Linked DNA regions of Caenorhabditis elegans. The protein of the gene in region 1 purifies or fractionates together with the protein of each later gene. This does not show direct contact. Each region holds a gene or a part of one and is shown in the gene's direction. Other genes may lie near its edges.

Region 1 (4,878 bases):
CAAAAGGTATTATTATGCAGTTATATCTAAACTGTAAATTTGAAAATTCAAAGTATCTCATATTCCTATATGTACCAGTAGTTTGTATTTTAAATTTCCAATTCAAAATTTTAATATGGAAATGATGTAAACACCATTCCGATTTTATTCCATTATTTTTCTCTCAATCTCTCACTCTTTTCAATTTTACTAGAAAACAGATTTTTATTCTTTCGAATAGAAAACCCTCTACCGTTCCTGACTCACCATTCTATCTCCTCACACACCACTTTCTACGACATTGCCTAACTTTTTGTGCGTTAAGTTTAATGTGCATTTGACCTTTATCAGTTACTCGTGTCCTCTTTCCTGTCTTGATATTTGATTTCAATCACCATCGAGTAATTAGTGTATTGGACACACATACCGAGAAACCACTAACAAGAAACGCCCTGATTTTATTTTTCCTTGAATAGCAGGACGGATCGTGTTAAATTCTAAATAACGTAGGACTGGAAAAATCACATTTTTATGACAACAGGGACTTTGTCGCAAAATTTAATTAGTTCTACATTTGGCCAGGACAATGATTACCGTGGCTTTATGATCAACAACATCTAGCGTGTCTTATCAAAAGCAAAAATTGTTGGAAATCCTAATTTTCTGTTTTGTTAGACTCTATTTTATTTCTTTTGAAAATCCATTACCGTTTTATGTTTTGAATAACTTCAAAATCAAACAAAACTACAGATTGATATTTGCAATCTAATATCTTCGTTTAAATTTCAACTTTTTTAAATGTGCTCTTCGAAATTAGTAAAAAATTTGTTTTATATATTTGCAAACTTCATATAGATATGAAAATATACATATGATAAAATGAAAATAGCTGTATTCCCTTGCCACGCATATAGACGGCGCATTCAAAAACTCATTGCACTCTGGTTTTTTTTTCAGAATTTTAATTACAATGGGGGTTATATTTCATGGGAAGAGCCTTTTTGAAACTCACCGCTTTTCTTCGCTCTATTGATATTTTTGATTTCCCTCTGCGTATGCAGAAAATAGTACAAACCACACTGACATTCATTGTAGTAACTCTAACTTTTATGCCCAAGAAAAGGCAAAAAAATGGTAAGAAAAACGTTTATGAAAGCTTTCTGTTTACCTACCTTGACCATTTTCTCTTTTTCCCCTATCCTCCAACGAGTGTACACACATTTTCGGGTATAATTCATCCGAATGGTTGGTGACAAGAAAAAAAAATGCTTCAAACTGTGTGCGTATGTTTTTCTTGTCAAAACCACATTCATAGTGTGTTATCAACAAGGAGGGATGCAACAAAAGAGAAAGCGAATTTTCCAGGTTGCATTCTTCATTTCGTACTTGCTATCTCTTTCCTCTGATAACCGTTTTTTCGGCAATTTCAATACCTCCTTGATTATATTTATGAGGTATGCAACTGACAGTGTTTCTTTTTCTCTTACGATATTTATTTTCACATCAAAACTATACACATTGCTAGCTTTTTTATTCTTTTTTGAAAAACCTATATTCATCAGATCTCAGAAGTTCCAATTTGAAAGTTTCTTCAATATGTACATTATCGTAAATTAGTCTGTCAACTGATACAAATCGCTTTTTGCCAAGTTTCAAAAGGACACCCCTTTTTGAAGTTTTCCGCTCCATTTCATGTCTTGAACGTATATGTTGCAAAAGTTACTTTCGATTTTCAGAACGACAACGTGTATTGAACCGAACTTGTGATTAGAATCGAAAACGAAATTTCAATTTGGCGCACCCATTTTTTAGTCCCGGCTTATTGATAAACACATAGAGGTGAGACTTTTTTTAATGCCAGTTTCGAACGCGTGCCCGGAAGTTTTTCGAGGCATTAAAAAAATTTTCCTATGTAACTAAACAATTCTTTTAGTCTTATAAAATGTTTTACTAAATCTCGTTTCCTGATATATGTAGTTTTGTACACAGAAAACGAGATGTTTTCTTTTGTATTTGCCTGAAAAACTTATTCTGCTTCTTGGCACAAATCCAAAAAAAGCGGCGTCATGTTTGTGCATTCAAAAACACTTCAAAGGTGTACGAAGCCACAAATGTTGTGACTACTCATATGTGTACAGAGATAGGTGTTTCAAAAAAAATTTTCGTACGACTTCAGAGTGACGTCCTTATTTTGAAACATTCACTTAACTCGAAAACATCCTGGTTTTTAGGTATTATATGAATTGTCTGCTAGTTTTTTTTTTTCGAAAAACCGAGTTTTTTCTCTAAATAACCTAAATCTTAACAAAAAATGTTGTTTTCCGTTCTTCACGTTTTTCGGTTTTTCAATTTTGCGGTGTGGGTCAAAAAGCCGAAAAACCCAAAAAATCGAAAAAAAATTAGGGTCCAGTTTGAAAAAGTGCAATTTATGTATGTTGTTTGTATGAAATAGGGCGTCATCAGTAATAAAAATATTGCATTCTGTATAAAAATACCGATTTTGGAGTGTTTTCAGAATTTGTTTTTGCAGTTTTCTCAAAAGCGAAAATTTCCGTTTTTCAGTTTTTTGAAGAACCAAAAAATCGAAAAAAGTTTTGGCGCACATAAAATGTTTTGTTATTCTCAAAAAATTTCGTCCCTACTAAATTTTACTCAACAATGTTCGTCTTCGCAATTCTCAAAAGAAACAAAGTGGCCCAAGATCTTACGTCAATCAAAACATTCAAAAGACTAGAATAAGAAGGCCCACTGTTTTTATAATCTTGTTTTTACACTCACTTAGCAAATCCGGCACTCTTTGTTCGGTTGCTAATAAGGTGTCAAAGTGACAATTGAAACCCCTCTGAACTGACTCAATAAAAGATAAGATGGAAAATAAATCGAATCTCCGTTTTCAATATGTTTCGGTCGGTTTCTTCTATTTATATGCAAAATTCATTCGAGACACCATACCAAAAGCTCCCGTGGGAGCTGGCCTTCTTATGTCGGTCGGTTCATGGTCCGTAGGGAGTGTCGGAAGGACGGAAGACCACGAAGGAAACGTCTTTGTTTGTACGGATCGCTTATTTATTATGCAGATTGAATATTGGCCACCGCTTCGTTCTTCATCTGTGTTCGGCTTTATTAGACTGCTCAAATGTTGCATGCCATTTTCCTCCTCCTCTCTCTTCGTAGCCGTAACGTATCGCATGTCCATTTCTGATTAGCTCTCGTCATCCGTTCTTCTTTCATCCTTATAAATATCACCATCCGTCTTGAATTGACCAAGAAAAATTGTAATTGTTCCAAACGGACCCGCATTGTACGTCTGAACACCCAGTCATTAGGCTTATCTTCCAATCGTTGCCTCCTCGTTTGCTCCATCCTGCACACACCTGGCCACAGGTACGGTGACGCAACTTTATGAGGTTGAGCCGACCAAATAGGACCATCTCCGTCCTTCCCCACATTTTTCGCCTCTCACTTTATATGTTTGGTCAACAGGGCTTGCCTCGTGCTTGACCCTACCCATACGCACAACTTTCTCTTTTTTGCTGAGGAAACTTTTTTGACGCGGGGTTTTTTACTCGAAATCTACGCTATCCAAATCTGATTTCTGTCCAAACGTCCTTGTCCATTCCTTGACTCTTCTCAATTTGATGATATGTGATGGAATCGTGCCCCCATTTGTGTGCCATCTCTTCAACGCAGGAGCTCTTTTATGTCGTTACAAGCATCTGCTTCAACGCGCGCAGCTGCACACAGTGCCATTTCTTGCCCTCGTTGTCGCGTCAAAAGTATTGCACAATACGGATAGATTACATAAGGAAATCTGTATTCAATCAGATGGTTTACGATCTGCCCGGTGGTGAATAGATATTTTCAACAGCTTATGAGAAAATCGGCTCCAAATTAATATGAATACGGTCACATTGAATAACTGAATTTATGATCTAACATTTTGAATTAACTAAATTTGCACTTCTCTGATTATGCTTATATAGTTTAAAGATTTTACCGCAACATTACAAACTTTTAATCCTCTAGTCTGATAATGATTTATGTCCGCTTCATTGTGAGCGACCAAAAAACTTTAGCTTGTTCACAGGAGTGTGCTTCAGGAATTTTTCAATTAATCTCTTGTGATATCACTTTCTTTTTTTTTGCTCTTACACCAAATATTTTTTTGGAAAAATTGTCAAAATTGACTTAATGGAAGCTGGTGGCTGAAAAATATTTGAGGAATGATTCATGATTTACCGTTTCATTTTTTTATTAAAAAACAAAAGTCTAATACTTTTGGTTCCTGTCAACATGGGGATCCGGACAATGAGAATGAGACGAACGCGCTGACTACTAGCAGTCGAAGTACGAAACCAGAACAATAGGCGTGTTAGTCTCAGTTTTAGCAGTACGTTTTGTCTCCGGTGTTCCCGTGTTAGAAGTGTATACAATTACCCTTTGCACAGTGGCTGTCGATTCAAGCAATTCGAGAACGTTAAGCCAGGTAATCCATGCCTAATAGATGGCAAACGGCACCCATCATCATCCTCATCGTTCATTTAATTAGCACGTTCGTTTCATCTTCAATACGTTCCTCACTGGACGTTAATCCAACCAATTTCGCGCACGGAAAGGTGTCAGAACAATGAACTGAGACGATCATTTCTCACTGGGTTTTTGTGTGTTCTTTTTGTGAAATAAGGTAATCCTCAGTCACAGGTTGTCAACGGAGCACTAGTGTCAGTCAAATGTACACCTGCTCTCATTTTTCTCTTTCTTGTGTCACCATCTCGTCTCACGTCTTCAATCTTTTTACCTTCCGTATGTCCCACAGATTCCCAGGATTACCGCTCTCGACGACAATTATGCGATCTCGAAAATGTCGTGAGGGCATTGTTAGGCATATCTGAACAGCCT
Region 2 (3,769 bases), on another chromosome or scaffold:
AACGAGAATATGAAGAACAAGAAAAGGTAGTTACTTTAATCAAATACAAAATATTTATTGCCTCCAAATCGTACTCTTTTTCGCTCAAACAATTTTCTTCCATTTGTTGCCAATTTTGATGCGAGCTGGCACAAAATCGGGGCACTCGATCTCCAACTTCAATTTCTTCTTCTCCTCACGATCAGGAATTGTGACTTCAACATCCAACTCCAAAATCACTCCGTTGCACGAGACGATTGGCGAGACACGAACTTGATCAGTCAAGACCTTGCATTGGAGTTTCTTTGCCGCAGAAGCATTGGAACCGTTGCGAATTTCCTTCAAAAAACTATTATTATTTTGGGGACTTTTTTTGAAGAGCAATACCACAGTCTCCATTTGTTCCTTAGTCGAACTCATGCAACTGTACTCGGAAAGTTTCTTGCTCTTCGAAGATTTCTCAGATTTCTGCAGAGGCGGTGACAGAGACAATGGTCTTGGCTCATCATGGATCTGCATGCTCTAGAAATTTGCAATTTTATTAAAAATTGAGCCGGCATCTACTGAACCTTTGAAGCAATGACATCCCCAGTACTACGTCCGATGGTTCCATTCAACGGTTTGGTCACTTGCACTTCACAGCGGTCCCCTTTCTTTGGCAAAGCGAGCAAAATCTGAATGATTTAGAATGAAAGTCTGAAAATTTCATTGAAAAACATACCTTCTCGACTTCATTGATGGTATGAAGAGAAAGACCATTCAAATAACAGATCGTTGCATTTGCATCCGCCATCTTTGAAACTAAAATCCAAACTGATTTCAATCGAAGATTTTCATATTGAACAACAAAAAAAAACAAACACGCAGTTTGTAGAGCTTCACGGAACGAACTTTTTATTTATTTATTAATTCTTTTCTACTCTTTTTGAATTTTGAAATTAACAGAAATAAATTTTCAGACTTGTAACGTACTTGGCCACTCGTCATCAACATCGTCTGTATTAAAAACATCAATTATCAATAAAAACGAGAAAGCCATCAAAATTGTGGAGAATATTCCGGACTCAGCGCCAATTGTGGTTTTTGGAGAAAGCAACTGTCCAGAGTTTAGGTATAATGAAAGGCATTTTCAACAAAAAACATTAGGTTTTACAGAAAAGTTTGTCAATTGGTGTCAACATATCGACTCGATATCTCGAAATTTCAAGTTTTTGAGCATGATAAGCAGTCAGATTGGCCTGGTGAAGAAGTATTGAAAGTGATGGAAAATCGATTTAAAACCAAAAAATCCCCATATGTAAGTTTCATATTTTTCCGAACGCTTTTCTTAACGACAGTTTTTTATTAACCACAAAACTGAGATAAAGTAGTTATTTTTAAAAACGTTTCAGGTATTCGTGTGCGGAGAGTTTATTGGAGGCCTCGAAGGTATACGAAACTACGATAGAACACATGGTCTGGATAAAGTCAAATAAATTTTGGAGAGATGATATCTTGAGATCATGTAATTATTATTTATTCATGCCCCCTCGTTGCCAGCTCCTTTGTGATAACTAGATTAATAAAATACATTCCGTTATTCATTGTGTTTCTCTGTTTAATATATTTGTGTAAAATATACGCTTTTTGATATTTATATAGAATTTTAAAATATTAAAACTCAGTTTCAGATTACTCTTCTTCAGAAAATTCTAAACAGATGCGAAAAATAAACAATTTTCTATCAAGATTACGGTAGCCGGTCTCGACACGCTTTTTTTGTATGGCAACTTTAAAAAAGAGTACTGTAGCTTACACGCTTTGCTGCTGCACCATCTACTTATTTTCTCTTTTGGACTTGTACCAATTTATTTTGAAAGGTTACCAAGAGAAAACGATAAAAGAGGGCGTGGAACCTACAGTACTCCTCACAGGTTCAAACTCTTTTGTGGGCGTCTCGAGACCGGGTATCGTATTCTTGTTTCAAAAATACAAAATTTCACAGTTTTGTAATAGAAATTGAATGTTTTTGTCAGATGACAGATCAACACATGGCTGATCAAGATATCAACGATTTTGAAGCTCAGGCAAATGCGGAAGATGGTGTCAATCTGGGATTCACTGTGAGAAATCTTCTCAAAGTGCTCTCGTTTCAATTAATTGTTTCGATTTTGCAGAAAGAGTTGATCGATGAGATTCGGGATAAAAAAGAGAGCAATCCGGGAATGTTTGTATCGGCATGGCAAGATGATACAGAAGGACTTGAGGAGAAAAATATGGAAGATCCGATTGAAAAGTGGCTGACTGCTGCTGAAGATGGTGAGCTCGAATTGGTCAAGGTTCTATTGGAGGAGACACCGAATTTGCTGAATGTTAGTTTTATATAATTTTAAACTGTTCTAAACTATTTTAATTTCAGTCTCGAGATGCCGATGGATACACAGCTCTTCATCGTGCTTCATACAACAATCATTCACCAATAGTAGATCACCTTCTGTTATCTGGAGCCAATAAAGAGTCAAAAACGAATGAAGGATGGACTCCATTACTTTCAGCCAGTAATTGGGCGAATTTTGAAGTAGTTGGGCGTCTTTTGAGTCATGGATCCGATGTCAATGCTCTCTCCAATGGAAATTTGACAGCTCTTCACTTGGCAGTGAATAGTCGAAGTGAAGAACCAGAAAATGTGTACATGACTGTCAGATACCTCTTACAAGCTCCAGGTATAACACATTTTCAAAAAATATTTTTTTACCAAAAAAAATTAAAATTTATCAACGAAAACGTTTTAAAGATCACAAAAAAATACCGGGGAACTTATGATAAAATTCATACTAATTAGAGAACCAAATAAATTTATTCAAGATAGTTAATAAATTATGGAATACTCAAAAATAAATATTATTTCTACAGGAATCGACGCTGGAGTCATAGCTGGTAACGGAGATACCCCCTTGATGATGGCTCGGCGAACTTCTGAACAACTCTACAATGCAATTCGCGATTTTATGGAACGACCTTAAAGCTCTAACCTTACTGTGAACGAATCTCAATTTTTGGGTTTATGGAGGCGGTTGTTTATATTTTCCAATTTATTTAATTAAAACATGATCTGAAACGAGAATCTTCATCATTATCACAAAGTAAGCACAGAAAAGCCATCAAGGAATGTATGGCGGTAGTTCAAAACAAATACAAATAAAGCTAGAACCCGAGGAAAATGTCTATATAAAATTATAAAATTATTAAGTTCTATGAGCAATTTTCGTTGTTCCACAAATTTTTGGAATATGGCTGACGAACAATCACAAAAATAATAGTGGTTGCAAAAAATGCAGAGTATAGAAATAGGCAAACATATCGAATTATTTTCTCAATTCGATGTTCTACTACATTATAAAGTACTACATATCCAAAGAATAATCCAGTGACTGCTCCAGCAATATGGGCAAGATGTGACACAGAATCACAGTCATTTGTATAGAATCGACGATGAATGGCTCCACCGAAATCCAGAAAGATGAACACGAAGAGCACCAGGACTCGGATCCATCGTAGTGGCATTTCATGCCAATTCTATAGATATAGAGGTTTAATTTTATAATTTCTTTAAAAATTGGACTCACCAGAATAACATTTGCTACATGTGCGAAAATGAGAGCATAAACTCCTGCGGAAGCACCAACTAGAAGCGAATTCGGGTCAATAGCATACTGTAGAAGAGAACCAGAAGTCACTGCCAACAGATAAATTGGACCGATCCTCCAGATTTTATGAGCAACTTCCAATGGAATCCCGACTAATAGTTGGA

What was found.
Region 2: the proteins of dgn-1 (region 1) and F26F4.12 fractionate together in Caenorhabditis elegans (co-fractionation; one large-scale study listed by BioGRID). This does not show direct contact.

What each region holds. Positions count from the first base shown.
Region 1 is NC_003284.9:10,925,836-10,930,713, reverse strand, and holds the start of dgn-1 (Dystroglycan 1), read left to right. Parts: upstream 1-1,715; 5' UTR 1,716-1,818; intron 1,819-2,894; exon of another isoform or gene 2,895-3,099; intron 3,100-4,878.
Region 2 is NC_003281.10:4,908,264-4,912,032, reverse strand, and holds F26F4.12 (ANK_REP_REGION domain-containing protein), read left to right. Parts: upstream 1-1,994; coding exon 1,995-2,081; intron 2,082-2,135; coding exon 2,136-2,330; intron 2,331-2,377; coding exon 2,378-2,681; intron 2,682-2,871; coding exon 2,872-2,981; 3' UTR 2,982-3,073; downstream 3,074-3,769. Other genes in the region: F26F4.2 (PDZ domain-containing protein), read right to left, coding at 85-318, 367-501, 549-653, 701-772; F26F4.9 (Glutaredoxin domain-containing protein), read left to right, coding at 1-26, 939-1,090, 1,135-1,276, 1,371-1,454; rom-1 (Rhomboid-related protein 1), read right to left, coding at 3,211-3,534, 3,585-3,769.